Drosophila melanogaster: one gene and its partners. The protein of the gene in region 4 purifies or fractionates together with the protein of the main gene of each other region. This does not show direct contact. Each region holds a gene or a part of one and is shown on either strand. Other genes may lie near its edges. The genes, in order: Tet, Plod, CG7049 and Col4a1.

Evidence for each region.
Region 1: the proteins of Col4a1 (region 4) and Tet purify together in Drosophila melanogaster (affinity purification with mass spectrometry, with the first as the bait; one large-scale study listed by BioGRID). This does not show direct contact.
Region 2: the proteins of Col4a1 (region 4) and Plod purify together in Drosophila melanogaster (affinity purification with mass spectrometry, with the first as the bait; one large-scale study listed by BioGRID). This does not show direct contact.
Region 3: the proteins of Col4a1 (region 4) and CG7049 purify together in Drosophila melanogaster (affinity purification with mass spectrometry, with the first as the bait; one large-scale study listed by BioGRID). This does not show direct contact.

What each region holds. Positions count from the first base shown.
Region 1 is NT_037436.4:2,875,876-2,880,741, reverse strand, and holds the start of Tet (Ten-Eleven translocation (TET) family protein), read left to right. Parts: upstream 1-1,583; 5' UTR 1,584-2,209; intron 2,210-4,866. UniProt on the Drosophila melanogaster protein: Dioxygenase that specifically demethylates DNA methylated on the 6th position of adenine (N(6)-methyladenosine) DNA.
Region 2 is NT_037436.4:11,202,835-11,207,939, reverse strand, and holds the start of Plod (procollagen lysyl hydroxylase), read left to right. Parts: upstream 1-1,923; 5' UTR 1,924-1,984; exon of another isoform or gene 1,985-2,070; 5' UTR 2,071-2,127; coding exon 2,128-2,206; intron 2,207-2,949; coding exon 2,950-3,035; intron 3,036-4,267; coding exon 4,268-4,407; intron 4,408-4,465; coding exon 4,466-4,997; intron 4,998-5,064; coding exon 5,065-5,105. Other genes in the region: Ube3a (ubiquitin protein ligase E3A), read left to right, coding at 2-183, 250-742, 805-1,143. UniProt on the Drosophila melanogaster protein: Forms hydroxylysine residues in collagen type IV. Required for the secretion of collagen type IV (vkg) from haemocytes, fat body and follicle cells.
Region 3 is NT_037436.4:174,525-178,383, reverse strand, and holds CG7049 (uncharacterized protein), read left to right. Parts: upstream 1-2,155; 5' UTR 2,156-2,180; coding exon 2,181-3,191; 3' UTR 3,192-3,272; downstream 3,273-3,859. Other genes in the region: Vdup1 (vitamin D[[3]] up-regulated protein 1), read left to right, coding at 547-1,002, 1,056-1,238, 1,305-1,694.
Region 4 is NT_033779.5:5,027,381-5,032,655, forward strand, and holds the start of Col4a1 (collagen type IV alpha 1), read left to right. Parts: upstream 1-2,228; 5' UTR 2,229-2,366; exon of another isoform or gene 2,367-2,430; intron 2,431-2,756; 5' UTR 2,757-2,837; coding exon 2,838-2,857; intron 2,858-3,361; coding exon 3,362-3,410; intron 3,411-3,474; coding exon 3,475-4,422; intron 4,423-4,497; coding exon 4,498-4,994; intron 4,995-5,119; coding exon 5,120-5,275. UniProt on the Drosophila melanogaster protein: Collagen type IV is specific for basement membranes.

The DNA of each region.
Region 1 (4,866 bases), on a different chromosome or scaffold from region 4:
ATGCAGAAGAACGAAGAGAGACTTGCAGCAGCTTCGAGTGCAGAAAACCCAACTATGAAGAACTTGTCTGCGGATCGTGAACTTAAGAACTATCTAAGAGGAGAAAAGGCCGGCTGCATTTTGTTGTTTGTGCAGATGTTTCTTCGAGGTTCCTCGAGGGATTTTATGGGTATGCGTTGCGTATGGGACAGGTCAGTGTTCGGAGGATTCGGATTCAGATTGAGATTCGGTTCCGGAGGATTCGAAGTCGGTTAAGGGTTGTGCCCCTAGGTTGAATGATTTTCCATTACGCAATGCAAATAGACAGCAGCGTTCCGCGTACTCGCTTTGTTTTGTTATTTTCTCTGTCAGCGCCAGGCAACAATGCAACTGTCAAGGTTTCCATTTTCCGCCGTGGATTGCTCTCTATGAAATGGCGAAAAAATGGCAGCTCCACTAATAGTTGGCATGAAACGAGGTTGCAACAGGACCGCCACGAGAAAAAAGTGAAATGAAATCAACCGCCCCCGCTCTTTGCGCAAAAGTAAAAAAGGGGCAAAACATGGCAGGCAAATTGTACCAAAATCCCGCAACGGCAGCCAGTGCAATGCCAGGATATATGGCACATGCCCACAAGGTCCTGCCTCCGTGTCCTGCGTCCAGCGCAGCAGTGGCAGCAACAGCACCGCAGCAACGTCCACGGCACCGCAGCAACAGCAGCGGGAAAGTAAAACTTATTCGGCTGGTCGAACTGCGAATGCCCTGAATTTCGAAACACATTTTGCGAGCTTATCTATTCTGATAAAATTGTAAATAAATCAATAAACTATACGCCAATTACCATATAATGCATGCTTGAATTCAATGTGCTTAATTGCTAAGTAAGCTAAGTAAGCTCCTTGGTTAGGGTATCAAAACAAAGGCAGCAGAAAATATCTCGTAGCGCACATAGATTGCAAGTTCGCATTGTGAGCGCGAAACTAGGGAAAAAAATTTTTAATTGGAACAACAACTGTACAGCGGCGCAGCAGCAGCAACAACAACAAAAGCGCACTTCAAACGCCGCATGTTCGTATCCGTGTCTTGTTGCAGCTGTGTGTGTGTGTGTGTGTGCTTGTGTGTTAATGAAAGAGAGAGGATGCAGCCGTAAATGTAACTGTGTGCGTGCGGCTGTGTGTTTGTGTGTGTGTGCCAGGACTCTCGAGCCAAAAGTTGCAGGCGCAACAGCAACAAGCAGCAGTTCGAAGTTAAATATTTAAGAATTTACAAAACTTTTTAGGGAACATAAAAATAAATACAAATTTCAAAACGAAAGAATCTTGCTCTTCATCTTTTAATGATGGTCAAACTGAAAAATAATATATTTTACGAATGACTAATAAGCACAAAAATAAATTAAAAATCATTTCTTAAAAATGCTTAAGTATTGAATGAATTATACAATATAAAACCGCTAGTTAAGAGAATTCGGTCGTCATGCTTGTTGTATTCTTAAGTTCGAGTGGAGCCCGCATTGGTTCGATGCGAACATGAACCTGTTCGCTTCGAGCACGAACTTGTTCGATACATTTTATGTTTGCTCCTTCATTTTCATTTTCATTTTCAGTTCAGTTAGTTCAGTTGTTGTGTATCCTTCGGGTGAAAAGTTTCCTACAAAACACGGACTTTTGCACCGCCGCCGCCGTTCGAGCGCTAGAAACGAGTGCGAGTGCGTGTGAGACTTACTAGCTAACTAACTGATTCTGATTCTGATTTTCGGGAATATACTATCCCTTCGGTGTGGGTGTGATCGAGTTCAAGGACTCGCGACTAACTTGTTCCAGTTTCGAAAACAGGCAGCCCCAAATAATGTGACCAATGTGACCAGTGAATTAGAATATCCAAGAGCAAAACAAAATCAAGAACTCCCGCAGATGCCGCACTTGCAGCTCCAAGTTCTTCAGCTTTTCATCCAAGTCCCGGTTTAATTTGCAGCTCCAGTTTCGCGCTCGGTTCTCTGGGTTTCCCTGCAATTTCCGCGATTTCCTTCTTTTGTTCCCTTCGTTCCGTTTTCGCGTCGCGGTTTGTTATTGTCAACTTTCGTTTTCGTGCGGTTTTTCGCGGCTTTTCTAACGGTCCAACGACGGTCGGCAAATGGATAGTGAAACTGGCTTGGATTTCCAATAGCTTCTAAGTACTCAACATTTTCCGAGGAAAAAAACTCGTGAAAGGACATGGATTAACAACTAAGGTTTGTAGTAGGGATTTAACAATATACATATATTTAAGTATATATAAATCGGGATGCTTTATGTATACCTTTTATCTATATATAACTATTCTGCGTATATAATCATTTTATTTGTGGTACCAAAGAAAATTAAATAAATGGTTTTTTTTTTTCATTAATTAAGCATAGCCATCAAACAAAAAGACAAATAGCCGCATACAGAACATAACTAACTCTTTGAAAACGAATCGTAAGGAACGTTTCCAAGAAACCAAACAGAATGGCCATATCCCTTTCATAAAACCGACTCCAATTAATAAAGCCAATTGAGCAAATGTATAAAAATGTTGAGCTCCAATCAAATATAAAACTCTACGCTTTTGTTCCTAATCCCTCAATTAAACTCACCTCTCGACCGAAAGCCAAAGAAAAACAAATTTCCAATTGAAATTTGCATTTGGGGCACAGGAAATACTTTCCAAGCGTAAACATGTAAACAAAGAGATAACAATTGTTATTGGTCATCCGAGGATCAAATTACAATAAGTGCAAGCTCAAAGAAGACCCAAAAAACAAAATCACAATCACCTAAGCAGGCAATTTCAGCGAGCTTTATTTGTGCAAGACAAATAAACAAAATAAAATAATAATATTACAGTAAAGGCAGAGGCTTCTCTTTTTGGACCGCAAACACTTATGGCAATGAGTAATGACTTTTAAAAGAAGAACTGTTTCTGATAGATACATTTTGCGTTTGTCTTAGCGCCAACTTAAATTAAAAAGCAGCGGGCTCTGAACTTCTTCTGGTTGTGAAGAGTTGAGCCGAGGCCCTGAAAACGTGCCAGAAAGCGACACACAGAGATACAAAGATACAGATACTCGTAACTAACAGTAACGTGCGTACATCTTCAAGATACTTTTTGGCGCGCTCAGAACAGAAGCGCCGAAAACAGAAAATAAAACAAGGAGAGTACATGGGAACGAGAAGCACAACAGAAAGCGAAAAGCTAAGAACACAGAAGGAGATACTTGTGCTCCTACAAGATACAGCTACAGATACAGATACATGGCAATAAAGAGAATTTAAAGAAAGATAAATAATAAAACCAAACAAATTGAGGCGCAGGCCGCGAAAGAAGTTCAAGTTCAGCGAATGTATCTCCGTGCCAGTATCTGTATCTGTTGGATGCAATTTGTCGGCCGCCTGCAAGTTTATTACCGTCTTACCCCCAATGAATCTATATATAGCTGCCATATTTTGTTTACAATTTTCCGCCGCCCACGATTCATTCATAAAACACATCAGCCCAAAATAAAAGTTGGCAAAAGGACACGCAGGCAAATTAAGGCTTTGACCTAGAGAAAAATAAACAACACCCAGGATATAACCCCTGCCCCCGTCCTCCCCCCCTCCACACACTCGTTAACAGTAACGTGCGTGACTTTGAAAGCAGGCAAGGCAAATGACAAACTCGTAAATCTCAACACACTCACGGGAAGTGGGTGGTGCGTTTTTTTTTTTGGGATGTGGGTGAAAATGCGAGGCATAAGTGCCCCTACTCCCATTCATATACGCTTAATACTCAGCCGCGTATGCCTGTCCATGGACTCCTTGCATGGCTTCATTGGGCCCCACAGCACGTTTCATTTCATCCACACCTGCACCGCCGCACCACTCCGCGCACAACCCATCCCCACACCCAAACACCCAAACACCAATACCGCCAAGCTTCGGCACAACTCAATTTGCACGTGACACAACGAGGAACGAGATGTGGAGCAGGCACTGCCAGGCGAATTAACTCGCGTCAGGAATTTAAAGAAAATATCTTTCAGATACTATATATATTTTTAAGCATTCAAGTTCTAAGCTAGAACGAAAAAATGTTATATGAGAGCTTGAAATTAAGTTTTCGTATTAATATTCGCCATCATTTATAATATTGTAATAACTTGCCTTTAAGAAATTCAAACAGAGAACCGACAGAGAATAGTCGCTTAACTAAAAACAATTTTATTGCATTTGATGGCTTGATAAACAGCTTTCACTAAATTGCCTGCGTTCCATAGTATTTGTCTTGACTTTCAAGCTACCTTCCGCACAATATAAACTCGATTAAGTACATCCACCACCTTCGCAAGGAATGCAATTTCAGCCGTCTAGTTCGTATCATTAACATAAAATGAAATAATTTCCCCACCCATTTGCCAGTTTGTGGGGCTTCTTGAAATGCTACCCGGCCGAAATGATGCACCCCACCGAAAGTGGAATGGAATTTTATTCATTAACTTGCTGCGCTGCACATTTGGCAATTGTATAACATGCATAAATATGCAAACTTATTATGGCCCGAAAAATAGTTTCGCAATAGCGCAGTGCTGGGGAAAAATGTTAATAAATATTTAGCCCAACTGCTTTTGAACAATCCTCATATGAGCAAAAGTTGTAAACAAGCGCACAATGTTCGGATAACATATTAAAATATTACATTGAAGAGGATGAGCTGGGAAACTGGTTATGGGGACGAGGAGGAGGACGTGGGTTTCAGTTGGGAAAGGGGAGCACTTCATTTGCACAAATGGAGCGTCAGCTTGACAGGCAGACTGTTGAGAAGGCGGCGGAGGCGACGGGGGCGTCCTGCAGGATCCTGGGAAATGGGATGTTCGGAACATGCTGC
Region 2 (5,105 bases), on a different chromosome or scaffold from region 4:
GCTGGAAATGGTGGCCATGAGCAATCCAAAGGATCTCAAGAAGCAGTTGGTGGTGGAGTTTGTCGGCGAGCAGGGGATCGATGAAGGCGGCGTATCCAAAGAGTTCTTCCAGCTAATCGTGGAGGAGATATTTAACCCGGCTTTTGGAATGTTTATACAGCAAGAGGAGACCAACAATATGTGGTGGGTATTCAATTGGGATAAATCTGTTCAGTTGAACTATATAAATATATATATATACATATGCAGGTTCAATGCCACACCATTTGAGAACGGAGCGCAATTCACTCTGATTGGTATAATTATTGGCCTGGCGATCTATAACAACGTCACCCTGGCCGTAAACTTCCCCATGGTGGTCTATCGCAAGTTGATAGGCTATTGCGGCACGTTCGCAGACCTCAGCGACTGGAGTCCGGCGCTGTACAAGAGTCTGAAGTCCATGCTGGACTATCAGGGCCAGGATATGGAGGAGGTATTCGAACAGACCTTCAAGATTAGCTATAGCGATGTTTTCGGTGATGTGGTACAACACGAACTGGTGCCGAACGGCCAGGATGTACTGGTGGGGCAGCACAACAAGGAACTGTTTGTCAACCTGTACAGTGATTTCCTGCTTAACACGAATATCGAACAGCAGTTCAATGCTTTCCGCAAGGGCTTCGAAATGGTTACGGACGAATCGCCACTGAAGCTGCTCTTCCGTCCAGAGGAGATTGAAATGCTGGTCTGCGGCAGTCGTGTGAGTAGCTAAATTCAAATTACGAAATTCATTCGGTTGCTGAACTCTGAAACCTTCGGCAGGAATTCGACTTTGTGGAACTGGAAAACTCCACTGTGTACGAGGGCGGCTACACGGAGAAGAGCCAGTACATCCAGGACTTCTGGAGCATAGTGCATGCGATGCCCAGCGAGGACAAGCACAAGCTGCTCGAATTCACGACGGGATCGGCGCGTGTTCCGGTTGGCGGCCTGAAATGCCTGCGTCTGCTAATCACGCGTCACGGTCCGGATAGCGATCGGTTGCCTACCTCGCACACCTGCTTCAACGTTCTCCTCCTGCCCGAGTACAGCAGCCGCGAGAAGCTGGAGGAGCGCCTGATGAAGGCCATCAACTACTCGAAGGGCTTCGGCATGCTGTAGACTATGGTCCAAACTGCAAGTGCAAGTCTGTCATCTGGAACTGATACCACCACCTCTCTGGGAAGAAGATTTCGAAGACTTTGATCGGTTTGAGTTCGTTTTGGGTTCTGCCATTTATTTTTGATACGACCTGTTCAATGAGACAATATATACATACCCAATATATGTGCTCAATTTATATGGTGCGACGGCGAAGCGAGCAGACCGAACGGACACGCGATTTTGTTTCCCTTCTTTAGCCCAGTTAATTGTACATAAACACACACATAAACACGCCACATACTACATTATGTGAACTTACCCTAGGAACAACACCCACATTTAAAAACAGTACGCGCTGAATATTTTCCTAAATAAATTTAAAGTAGTTCGGCGAAGAAACAGATGTATTTTCCATTTAGATTGGTTTTCGCAAGTATGGAATATTTTTTAATATTAGATATTTTTAATTTAAACTAAGATTACTAACAAATTAAAATTGTGGAAAAAGATTCATTTAAATTATATTTACATATTTAATTTAGTATAGAAACATCAAATACAAAACATTTTGTAAGCAATATTTCACACTAGCTGACATTTAAATTTCGGTGTGAAGTACTTTTTATTTTTTAACTTAAAAAATAACTTGTTAACTTTATTTTTTATTTAGTCTAGACACATTTAAAAAAAAAAGAGGTGTGAAAGCCTTATTTCACAACAGCTGACTTGGGACTAGTGGATTTTTTAGGCCCTTTTTTTCAGGCGATATTTTCTAACGGCTTAGCCGCAGCCACACATTTGTTATTCGCGTTTCTGAGTTTCTTGCGGGTGGGACTCCCGATATTTTGTGGAGCGGAAGGTGTTTTGATTTCCTTAGCATTTAGCACAAAAAAATGCAACTAGTATAAAGTACTGTTCACTATAACAATTTTTAACCACCGATAGCGAGTGCTTCACTGTGTGTGCGAGTAAGAGAGAGAGAGAGCAACTAGCTCCAGCATCATGAGAATACAACAAAGCGCCTTGTTGTTGTTGCTGCTGGCCGTGACGTCGCAAGGAGATGCCGAGTCCAATTGGAATGGTTTGTTCTTAATTTCTAACTAGAATGAGTTCATCAGCAGCCATAGAAAATTATATTGCATTCATGTTTTCATATTTTTCGATCTTAAGTGCATTCCACTGCCGTACTTATTACACAAATGCACAGAGATAAAAAGGGATGTGATGCGGTTGGTTTTTTCTTATCATTCTTGATAAGAAACTAGAACATCCTTTTCTCGTTCAAAACATAAAAAGTCCGAAATGTAGTTTCCCCTTACTTTTTTCTGTGTATGTGCAGTACATATCTCAGAGAATTTGTTTATGATCCATATACCACCCGACCACATCTCTCCTTGCCTTTTAATTTGCTTTTGTTTTCGTTTCGCTTTGATGCTGCGGTCGTTTACTCTGGAATTGCTCGGAAAACGGAGCAGATGCAGATTCAAGTGTTCAGATGCATCTGCATCTGAGATGAAAGATACAAAATGGTTCTCAAACAGCAAATTCGTTTACACATTCAGAAATTAAACTGCTTTAAACAAGCCGAACTTGTTGTCTAACATGTATTCGTTATAATTTAATGACTTCAGACAATACAATATCATTTTGTTGTATTCTAATTAGAACCCAAAACTAGAATACAGTAGAGCTTACGCAAGTTCAACGAGCAATATAAGAAACTATTAAATTTATGTTAAATTACATTAATTAAAAATAATCCAAAAGTAATGACTTACTTTCTATTAATCTTTACTATTGATTCATATATATGTTAATTTACAGACAAAATCAAAGTGTTCACTGTGGCCACTGAACCCACCGATGGCTATACTAGATATATTCGATCTGCACGAGTCTACGATATTGAGGTGAGGATTCGTATTAATTAGAGCATTTTAAAGTCGAGACAAGAAATTGTTTCACACTGTCTATCTAATATCTATGAGCTGCTATAGTTAGGTATTATGGTTAGCGGAAAAAGAATTATAAAGCGGTTGGAACTTTGAAACTTGACAGTTCATCAAGAAAGACATTCTACCATCTGGGATAAAAATTAGAGAACATTAAATACAGTTATGCATATACTTCTGCCTGAACAAAATTGGCCAACTTTTATGTTTAATAGAACATCTGCGAACAACTCTTCATATGCAAATGAGTTTTGATTGTTTTTATTGATGAATTTCTAATTTGACGACACTCTCAGACAATAGAATTTTCATAAAAACTGGTATATAAGCTAGAACATAGCATTTATGACAGATTAGAACTGGACGATGTGAGTATGTATTGTATTGTCTTAAATGAATCAAGACTTGCCCGGCGGCTTGGCACACTTAGGCAACATTGTATTATTAAAATGTCTGGTTAGCATATAATATAGTAGCTATATATATCTGTGCCTATTCGCCGCTACCCGAGCATCCGGCGTTGGCGTCCGATTTTCTGATGTGGAACACCGAGATTGGCTGCTGGACATTGTGGGGGCAACGACAACATGTAGTCAACATATAGTGCACACATGTTGAAATCACGTACGCCAAGGAGATTCGGTGCAGTCGCCGGGGGTAATTAGCACAATACATTGGGATTGGGTTCCCGATTCATTGATAGCTTAGAACTTTCTACACCAAGTCGATGGGAGATTTCGCTTATCGGTGACACTTTTTGTATTGTCGGCCGGCTTAGAAATTTTGTTGTTCAAAAATATATATGCACGACAATAAAATGTGCTGATAAGCTCGCTTAGCCGGCTTTTTTTCATGGATTGAACCTGATCTCTCCCCCTTTGCTTTGAATTTCTATATATGTACATTTTTTTTTTGTATTTAAAGAACTGTGCGACCCAAGATATTTAATACCGCAGCGTTGCTAAATGAATGAAATTTGTGATTTGGTTTCCTTTAATGGAAAAGATATGATTTCTTTTAAATTTTGTGTCATATTTTTGGTTGCTTTGTATATGTTTTATATAATATGAGCTTGTAGATTAAACAAATATATAGATTTAGGTAGCTTGTTAGTCCAGTTTGTTGTCAGTGATAAAGATATACGCATCAGATCACTGGTTAGCATTTAAAATAATATTTAATCTTTAAAGGTAACCACCCTTGGCTTGGGAGAGGAATGGAAAGGAGGAGATATGCAAAAGCCTGGCGGCGGATTTAAGCTCAACCTTCTGCGCGAAGCTATTGCTCCGTATAAAAATGAACCCGAAACAATCATACTCTTCACAGACAGGTTTGAAATTCAATGAAAAATCCAAAGGAGTTGTTAATAATTAAGGTGTACTTTTTAGCTACGATGTGATTATCACCACCACGCTGGATGAGATCTTTGAGAAATTCAAGGAGTCTGGTGCCAAGATACTCTTCTCCGCCGAGAAATACTGCTGGCCCGACAAAAGTCTGGCCAATGACTATCCCGAAGTGGAGGGCAAGGCCTCCAGATTCCTCAACTCGGGCGCGTTCATTGGTTATGCACCACAAGTTTTCGCTCTGCTGGTGGATCCAATTGAAGACACTGCCGACGATCAGCTATATTTTACAAAGATCTTCCTTGACGAGACCAAACGCGCCAAGCTGGGCTTAAAGCTGGACGTACAATCGCGCCTATTCCAAAACCTACATGGTGCCAAGAACGATGTGAAGCTTAAAGTGGATCTCGAGAGCAATCAGGGCGTTCTACAGAACGTGGATTTCATGACAACGCCTTCCATCATCCATGGCAATGGACTTAGCAAAGTGGATCTGAATGCATATGGCAACTATTTGGCCAGGACTTTTAATGGCGTCTGCCTTTTGTGTCAGGAAAATCTTTTAGACTTGGAAGTAAGCGATTTTGAATATGCCTATAAACATGCTTATATTATATTATAATATACAATATATTTTCTAGGAGACAAACCTACCTGTGATTTCCCTAGCCCTGATGGTCAC
Region 3 (3,859 bases), on a different chromosome or scaffold from region 4:
TGGCAGTGTACGGTTGGGAATCCGCTTTCCACTAGGAAATTACGTCAGTTTTCTTTTCGGTTTCTGTTTCCCAATCAGGAATCATCAACATTGTCACCAGTGCACCAAACAGGCTTGCCGACAGTCGCAGTTGCAGCTTACGCTTTTGGTAAAGATGTACATACTGGAGTTTTGCCCAAATTTGTAGGCGCGGGCGTGACACGCCCGACATGCTTCATGCGCCGACCTTGCAGTTGATGCTTAAGTGTTCGGGGCTTTCGTGCTGCATAGTTGTGCACGCAGCCATCTCTTGGCCGTACGAAACTGGTTTTGTTTCCTTTGCCCGCCTAGATGCTACCCACATAAATATGCAAACAAGCGCCGTATGTATGTGAGACCGTAGTCCGTAGTACATGGTCTCAGACCTAGCCAGCTATGACGGATAAGTTGTCATTAACCATAATGACGCGTGCGGAGCGGGTCAAATATTTGGCAACCGTGTTCTAACGAATTTCGTTGGTTTTTCCTTAGGCGTACGAATGAAATCGGCAACAAAACAGAGGCACGATGCCGCGCAAGTTGCTTAAATTCCTTATCATCTTCGACAACACTTCCCTCCTGTACTTCCCGGGCCAGTTTCTCTCCGGACGGGTTCTAATCGAATTGCAGGATGAGACGCCTGCTTTGGGACTTCATTTCCATGTGGTAGGCGAAGGGGTCGTGCGCAACGGGCGGCGACAGGAGCGGACATACGATAAGGAGAACTATATCGACTTTCGGATGCGACTTCTGGGGGACGTAGACCAAGGAGGTCCAGCTATACTCTCGCCAGGAATTCACAGCTTCCCCTTCAAACTCGGCTTGCCACTGGGTCTTCCATCTACATTTCTCGGTCGGTACGGCTGGATTCAGTTCTACTGCAAGGCGGCGCTCCGCGAGAACAATGGCATTATCCATAAGAACCACCAGGTCTTCATTGTGATGAATCCCATCGACCTAAACCTTGAAAAGCCCATCTTAGCAGTAAGTAGCTTTAAAAACCCTGTTTAAAAAAACTAACCTTTCGCCTGACTCAGCAACCGTTCACCTGCGAAGTTGAGCACAAGCTAGGCGTCGTCTGTGTTGGTGGAGGTCAGATAAAGTGCAGAGTGTCCCTTGATCGCGGTGGGTATGTGCCCGGCGAGAATATTCTGGTCACCGCATTTATATCCAACTACAGTAATGTGTCCATTAAACGGACTAAGGCATCCCTCACTGAGGTCGGTATCGCTTTCAAGTGGCTAGTTACAATTCATCCATTTTGATCTTATTTGGATTTTATTTAGACCATCGAGTATTTGGCGCGGGGGAAGGTGGTGCAAACGGAAAAACGGGAGCTGGCTGTTTTAGTTCGTGGCAAGATCCGTCCGGGGGCCAAAGACGAGTGGCACAACGAGCTTTACGTTCCACCCCTGCCGCCGACCAATCTTCATGGCTGCCACCTGATCAAAATATCCTACGACGTCTTCTTCGTGATCGAACCCAAGTCCATGGAGAAGGAGATTAAGCTACAGCTTCCTATCGTGCTTGCGACGTACCCCTTTCGACACTCCGGTGATGCGGTCAATGCCAACACCTGGCCGGAATCGGTGCTTAAGCCGGACACGCACACCCACTATCCGTCCACACTACCCATATTCCGGCCCTGGCTGCACGAGAAGCCTATCGAGGCATAGCCCGCAGCTTTTAGGATTGCTGTGTATCACAACTTGTTAAGACCGATTTGCGCCATACAACAATTTAAACTTATTTAACTTATACTTAACGTTTTTTAATGTTTCTGGTCTTTGCATTTGTAGGTCTTCCGTTCCCAAAAATTTGTTCATGATTGAAGAATTTATAACAAATACAAACGAAAGTTAACATAAAGACCAGACTTTGATAAATTATAATTAGCTCATATACATAACTTTTTATAAAACCTAAATATTGTAGGTTATATATTATTAAAATGGTAAAACTGCACTCATTAACCTTCTAACTACTACTAAATGGTTATAATAATAATAATAATCCCAAAAGTATGGTTGTTGAAATTGAAATAAATTGTTTAAAACGTTACAGCCTAAAGTATGCTATTAAAAAGCTGGCTTGTTCGGAATTTAAATTCGCGAAATTAAGTATTGATTCCAAAACTAAAAAGGGCCACACTGCACGTTAAGATGACAACAATTATATTAGTCCTCTTTATTTGGATAGTTTTATTCAATGACGTATCCAGCGACTGTGGCTGCCAAAAGCTCGACCGGAAGGCCCCGGATATGCCGTCCATTTCCGGACAAGTGTGCCAGCAACGAGCACAGGGTGCACACAGCCACTACCGGGATTACTATGGCGAACTGGAGCCAAATATTGCGGACATGTCACTGCTTCCGGGAGGCACGGTTTACATGGGTACTGACAAACCGCACTTTCCGGCCGACCGCGAGGCTCCGGAACGGCAGGTGAAGCTGAATGACTTCTACATCGACAAGTATGAGGTTTCCAACGAAGCCTTTGCGAAGTTTGTTCTGCACACTAACTACACCACGGAGGCTGAGCGATATGGCGACAGTTTTCTGTTTAAGAGCCTTTTGAGCCCATTGGAGCAGAAGAACCTAGAGGACTTCCGAGTGGCGAGCGCTGTCTGGTGGTACAAAGTGGCCGGCGTGAACTGGCGACATCCAAATGGCGTGGACAGCGATATAGACCACTTAGGCCGACACCCGGTAGTGCACGTATCGTGGCGCGACGCTGTGGAGTACTGTAAGTGGGCCGGCAAGCGGTTGCCCAGCGAGGCGGAGTGGGAGGCGGCTTGCAGGGGCGGCAAGGAGCGCAAACTGTTTCCCTGGGGCAACAAGCTGATGCCAAGGAATGAACATTGGCTGAACATCTGGCAGGGAGACTTTCCCGATGGCAACCTGGCTGAAGATGGGTTTGAGTACACCAGCCCCGTGGATGCCTTCCGACAGAATATTTACGACCTGCACAACATGGTGGGCAACGTCTGGGAGTGGACGGCAGATCTGTGGGACGTAAATGACGTTAGCGATAATCCAAATCGGGTCAAGAAGGGCGGTTCTTATCTGTGTCACAAGTCCTACTGCTACAGGTACAGGTGCGCGGCACGCTCGCAGAACACAGAAGACAGTTCAGCCGGTAACCTGGGTTTTCGGTGCGCCAAGAATGCGTGAGTTGTCATCGTGGGAAATTCCTCACAACTCTTTTATTTTTACAAATACAACAAATTAACCAAATATAAAGACTTTCATTCGAAATGTACGTCTTGTCGCTTCGCGTAATACATATGTGCGAAGTCCTCCACATTCTGGTACTTGGGATAAACTGAAGACGAGAGAAGTCGTCGTTTCTCTATTAGGCGGAACCGGCTGTCATCTACTGGGAAGTTTATATGAACATTAATTACAAATCAGTTTTATGTTCAGCCATGGGACACACATCTTACAACATAAATTTAAATAAGGCAATAGGGCTTCATTTGAATAACTGAAATTTCATTCAATACTGATTTTTCTATTACAATTTTTTAAATAAAAACGTCACAAATTAGGAATTACTTTAAATCCGTACATTTTGAACTGAAACTGTCGATTATTAAGTTTTTAGCTCAAGGAAAAATTGGGAATGTCAATTGTTTAAAGAAAAGAGCAAAAAGAGCTATCGATTACTATCGATACATACTAAGCCATCGATGGCTTTTTTATAAAAGTCGGCGCTGAAATTACCTTGTAAGAAATGCTTTTAAGTTAAAGATCTTTCTGTTGGATCAGTAGTCTCAAGAAAAAAGTCAGGTATGTATATAAAATGTAACCAAATTGATGCGTTCAGATTTCAATATTTT
Region 4 (5,275 bases):
CGTCGGGCACAGCACTCTCCCCACATGTGGAGATCGTCTAGCGTTCGAAGTATTACTAAACACGAGTCCCGCTAAAGAAATTCGAATTCTTCGCCCGCACACTCGGCACGCTCGGCTCCACTCGTAAAAGTTCGGCCGTTCGCGATCGGCTCTCGGCCCACCAATACTATCGCAAGTGGAAGTTGCAGCAGTGTGAGTGTAGTAGGCACAGGCCAGGGACAGGCCCGGATGGATGTTTTGGATGGAGATTTGGATGGAGGTTTGGATGTAGATGTGACTCCGGGCTCTGGTTATGGTTCGGAATTTAGCACTTTGACGCCTTGAAACGAGGAAATGAGGAGCAGAGCCCTCTAACCAAATCAAAGCGGCCCGATTCTAAGCATACAAATTCTATTTCCCATTTTGGTACCGTATCCCTGAAGGGGTATGATCAATCAGATTCTCACTTTGTTCTTTTTATTAGGCACGTCTCTTGGGAAAATACAAATTATTAAATAATTTATTAATTAATGTTACTATTACTAACTATTACTAACAGGCACATACCATTTATACATAATAACCATCCGCATATAACTTAAATGATAGTTCCAACTAGCGACACACGATATTTCTTGCGGGGTAAAAGCTATTCTAATACTCAATCCCAGCTATCCTAGTGATTTCAATACAATTAGATGCTAGTTTGTTTGTCGCGCTTCTCGTGATTAGGTTAAGGCTTTTTCATTTAGTACTTACATATATGGCATATGTGAGGCTGATAAGACGGATATGGCTGAGTATTTCCTGTTAGAACGAACTACTGATCAACTGAAAACCGAACATGAGTTTTAAGCTCCAATAAGTCCGACGCAGAAAAGCCAAATGGGAACCTTTCGAAATTCGAGCCTGATTTTGGGTTTCGGGGCCACAGTGTTTTGAAATAAGTCTTGATAGGGCGGCTATAATCAAGGCCTCGTTCTAGTTGGGAAAGCTCTTTTGTTCTAGGGTACGTGCAAGTCGGATATGGCCCAGTGGCCTGAATATATGTCTTCTCAGGAAACTGCTGTGATTAGGATATTAAATGATGTCGCACTTCGGCAACTTAAAATCTTATTAATTTATGTTTAGAGCGGTATTAGTAAGTATTATGTCGTACTTACTATCAAAATGAATGGATCTCAATAATTATTATTAATTAAATAACAATAATTATTTTAAGTATGTATAAAACTTGGCACTTAAAATGAAATTTCATTTAAGATACATTTAGTTTTAATAAAGCGTAGATAGATACAAAAAAAATCGAAAAAAGACCATTCTTTGAAACAATAATTGCATCGACATACTAAAATCAATCAAACTAAAATATTTTGTTTTAGAAAAGAATGGAATGATTTGAATAATCAGTTATATATAGCAAATAAAAATATACCAAGTAAAGCTTAAAAAGAGATTTAATCTTCAAAACCTTTGTCAAATTAATTATATCAGTTTTGAAAGCTAGAGAATATTTTTAAAACTTAGAAAAGGACTATAATCCTATTAAAAGTAAAGTATATGCCAATAAAATGTTTACACATGTTTTTGTTATCCTTTAAGTTTTAGATATTTTTATCATACTTATTGTAAGTACACACAAAATTTTGATGAGGTTATAATTAGAACATTGGCCTGATAGCGAAGCCTTCGGAATTTCCCTTGCCCGAGCACCGAAAAAAGTCCAAAAAGCAGGAGCCGCAGGGGCGGACCAAAACGGAAGCCATGTGCCCGATCTCAGGGCGGGGGCTATCAGCTAATTTTGAGATGGGAGCTGGTAGCTGCGATCTGGAAGCTGGGATCTGGGAGCCGGAGAGCTGGTTGAAGGTGCTCCCGGGGAGGTGCTCCGGCGGAACGAAGCTGATGTGCTATTGAGCAACTTAAGTCGCATGTGGCATATCAACAGCAGCGACGGACTTATCGCCAAGTTTCATTCATTCCGCAGCGACTATGTTAACTTGTGGGATTAGTGTTGCTACATACGACGACCCGTCGCCCATCCGTTCTATATGCCATGGTGCCACCACCCACCTCCCACCAGCCACCTCGCAGCCATCGCAACCGATCCGATGCCCATCCAATCCCCGTCGAATCACACGGATAGTGTACATGAGCCGTAGACCCGATCGTCGAGATCGTGCCAAGCCGAACGATCGACGAGTGAAGATCGGGGCATCGGCGTTTGGCTTTTGGATCGCTCGAACTTATACTATAATTAGTCGTGTTCCGTCTCCCCGAGTAAGTAGTAGTCTGGTCTCGGTCCGGAGCTGATCTGGCCAGCTGGTTTTAGTCTTTAGTCAGCGCTGTGGAGTGGTGATCGGTTCGGATCGGATCGCTCGGTTGTGAATGTGTGTTTCCATTAGGGTCCCGTCCCGTCCCGTCCAACCGTCCCTTAAATAGGATTTGATTCCTGTAAGGAACTGAGCTTTTACAACAACAAAATAATATAAACATAAAATATCTTAATTAAATCAGGAAGAACGCGTACTATTAATTGAAAATATCCAGCAAGTCGTTGTGCGAGTCTCGTACCAGTTCCAGTGCCTCTCAAACTGTCGCGTGTATATGCTTGGAAATGAAATGAAACGAAATACAAGAATTAAATCGTTGAAAAAAAATAAGCCAGCTCGATTTTCCCACAAATATTAAATAAAATAATATTCCTCTAAGAATATTTCCAATTTATTTTGCAACTGTTGCGAAATTAAAGTGCCCAATTCTCTGGCTCATCTTTCCAGGCCCAGCGACGGCAACATATAAACTTCAAATTCGACGAGGACAGAGCAAATAATTGTGCAGGCTTAAGTGCATAGGGCATCATGTTGCCCTTCTGGAAGCGGTAAGAAAAATGACAAAAGTTAGAAAAATAATACAAATGGTTGCAAAAATTTAAGTTAATCAAAGAAAGCAATTGTTAATTATTAAAAACCATGACAATAATACTTACTTAACAACTAATAATACTCTATTTAAAAATTTAAAATTTTTTTGAAATTTTTAATGATTAAAACCCAGTTATGGCCTAAAAAAGTATTGCCAATTTTTTTCTTTCTAATCCATTCAGAAAGAGCAAATATTAGTTTTTAAATTAATATTTTAGATATCAGCAATACAAAAATACATAATTTAAAACATCACATTTGTTCAATTTTTTTTTAATTTTTCGAAGCGCGATCTCTTAAAAACTTGTAAGCTCTCTCTTAAGCGCCTTTAGCAAACTCTCTTGAATTGACGGCTTAAGAGAGAGCTGCCAATCGAAGAGAGCTATGTCCAATTAAATAGCTAGACTGATAAGACGAAGCACAGTTCCTAACCCTCCTGATCTTCGTCGACTTCTTTGCAGGCTGCTATACGCCGCTGTGATCGCGGGAGCGTTAGTCGGTGCCGACGCTGTAAGATAACCGTAGCCCATGCCATCCATCTGGACATTGAATAATATACTCCTTTTCCCCGCAGCAATTTTGGAAGACGGCTGGTACGGCCGGTTCGATTCAGGACTCCGTGAAACACTACAATCGAAATGAACCCAAGTTCCCAATCGACGACAGTTACGACATTGTAGACTCTGCCGGCGTGGCGCGCGGCGATCTGCCGCCCAAGAATTGTACGGCCGGATATGCGGGCTGTGTGCCCAAGTGCATAGCGGAGAAGGGCAACCGTGGTCTGCCGGGCCCTCTTGGACCCACGGGATTGAAGGGCGAAATGGGTTTCCCTGGCATGGAGGGACCATCTGGTGACAAGGGTCAGAAGGGTGATCCCGGCCCATACGGACAGCGTGGTGATAAGGGTGAGCGCGGATCGCCTGGTCTTCATGGTCAGGCTGGTGTACCCGGAGTCCAGGGACCCGCCGGCAATCCCGGAGCCCCTGGTATCAACGGTAAAGACGGTTGCGACGGACAGGATGGTATTCCTGGCTTGGAGGGTCTATCCGGAATGCCCGGACCTCGCGGATATGCCGGCCAGCTTGGCAGCAAGGGCGAGAAGGGTGAACCGGCAAAGGAGAACGGTGATTACGCGAAGGGCGAGAAGGGTGAGCCCGGTTGGAGGGGGACTGCCGGTTTGGCTGGACCACAAGGATTTCCTGGAGAAAAGGGCGAGCGCGGCGACAGTGGACCTTACGGAGCCAAAGGACCCCGGGGTGAGCACGGTCTGAAGGGAGAGAAGGGTGCCTCCTGCTACGGACCCATGAAGCCTGGTGCACCGGGTATCAAGGGCGAGAAGGGTGAGCCCGCGTCCTCGTTTCCCGTCAAACCGACCCACACGGTGATGGGACCTCGCGGCGATATGGGACAGAAGGGAGAGCCTGGCCTAGTTGGCCGCAAGGGTGAGCCCGGACCTGAAGGCGACACTGGACTCGATGGACAGAAGGGCGAGAAGGGTCTGCCCGGCGGCCCAGGCGATCGCGTAAGTCGAGTTCATACTTAAGGCTCCAAATCGAAGTGGAAGTTGAAACCTCTATAATGAAATATATACGTACAGGGTCGCCAAGGTAACTTTGGACCCCCAGGATCTACAGGACAAAAGGGAGATCGTGGCGAGCCGGGCCTTAATGGTCTGCCCGGTAATCCCGGACAGAAGGGTGAGCCAGGACGTGCTGGAGCGACAGGTAAGCCTGGTCTGCTCGGTCCTCCGGGACCGCCAGGCGGTGGCCGTGGAACACCAGGACCCCCGGGACCCAAAGGACCCCGCGGCTATGTTGGCGCACCTGGACCCCAGGGATTAAACGGAGTTGATGGACTACCGGGTCCTCAGGGATACAATGGACAAAAGGGAGGTGCTGGTCTGCCCGGTCGCCCCGGCAACGAGGGACCTCCTGGCAAAAAGGGAGAAAAGGGAACCGCAGGACTTAATGGACCAAAGGGATCCATCGGACCCATTGGACACCCAGGACCACCGGGACCAGAGGGACAGAAGGGTGACGCCGGTTTGCCCGGTTATGGCATTCAAGGATCTAAGGGAGATGCTGGCATACCTGGGTAAGTGCAATGATTCATTTAATAGTCCTAGCACTCAGTCGAGTCCCACTGTGGAGCCGAGTCCTGTTCTTACTTTCCTTCATTAAAGATCTTATTTAATTCGAATTAATTTTCGTTCGTCCTAGTTATCCCGGACTAAAGGGTAGCAAGGGAGAGCGCGGCTTCAAGGGCAATGCTGGTGCTCCCGGTGACTCCAAGCTGGGTCGTCCTGGAACTCCCGGTGCCGCTGGTGCTCCTGGACAAAAGGGAGACGCTGGTCGTCCCGGCACTCCTGGCCAAAA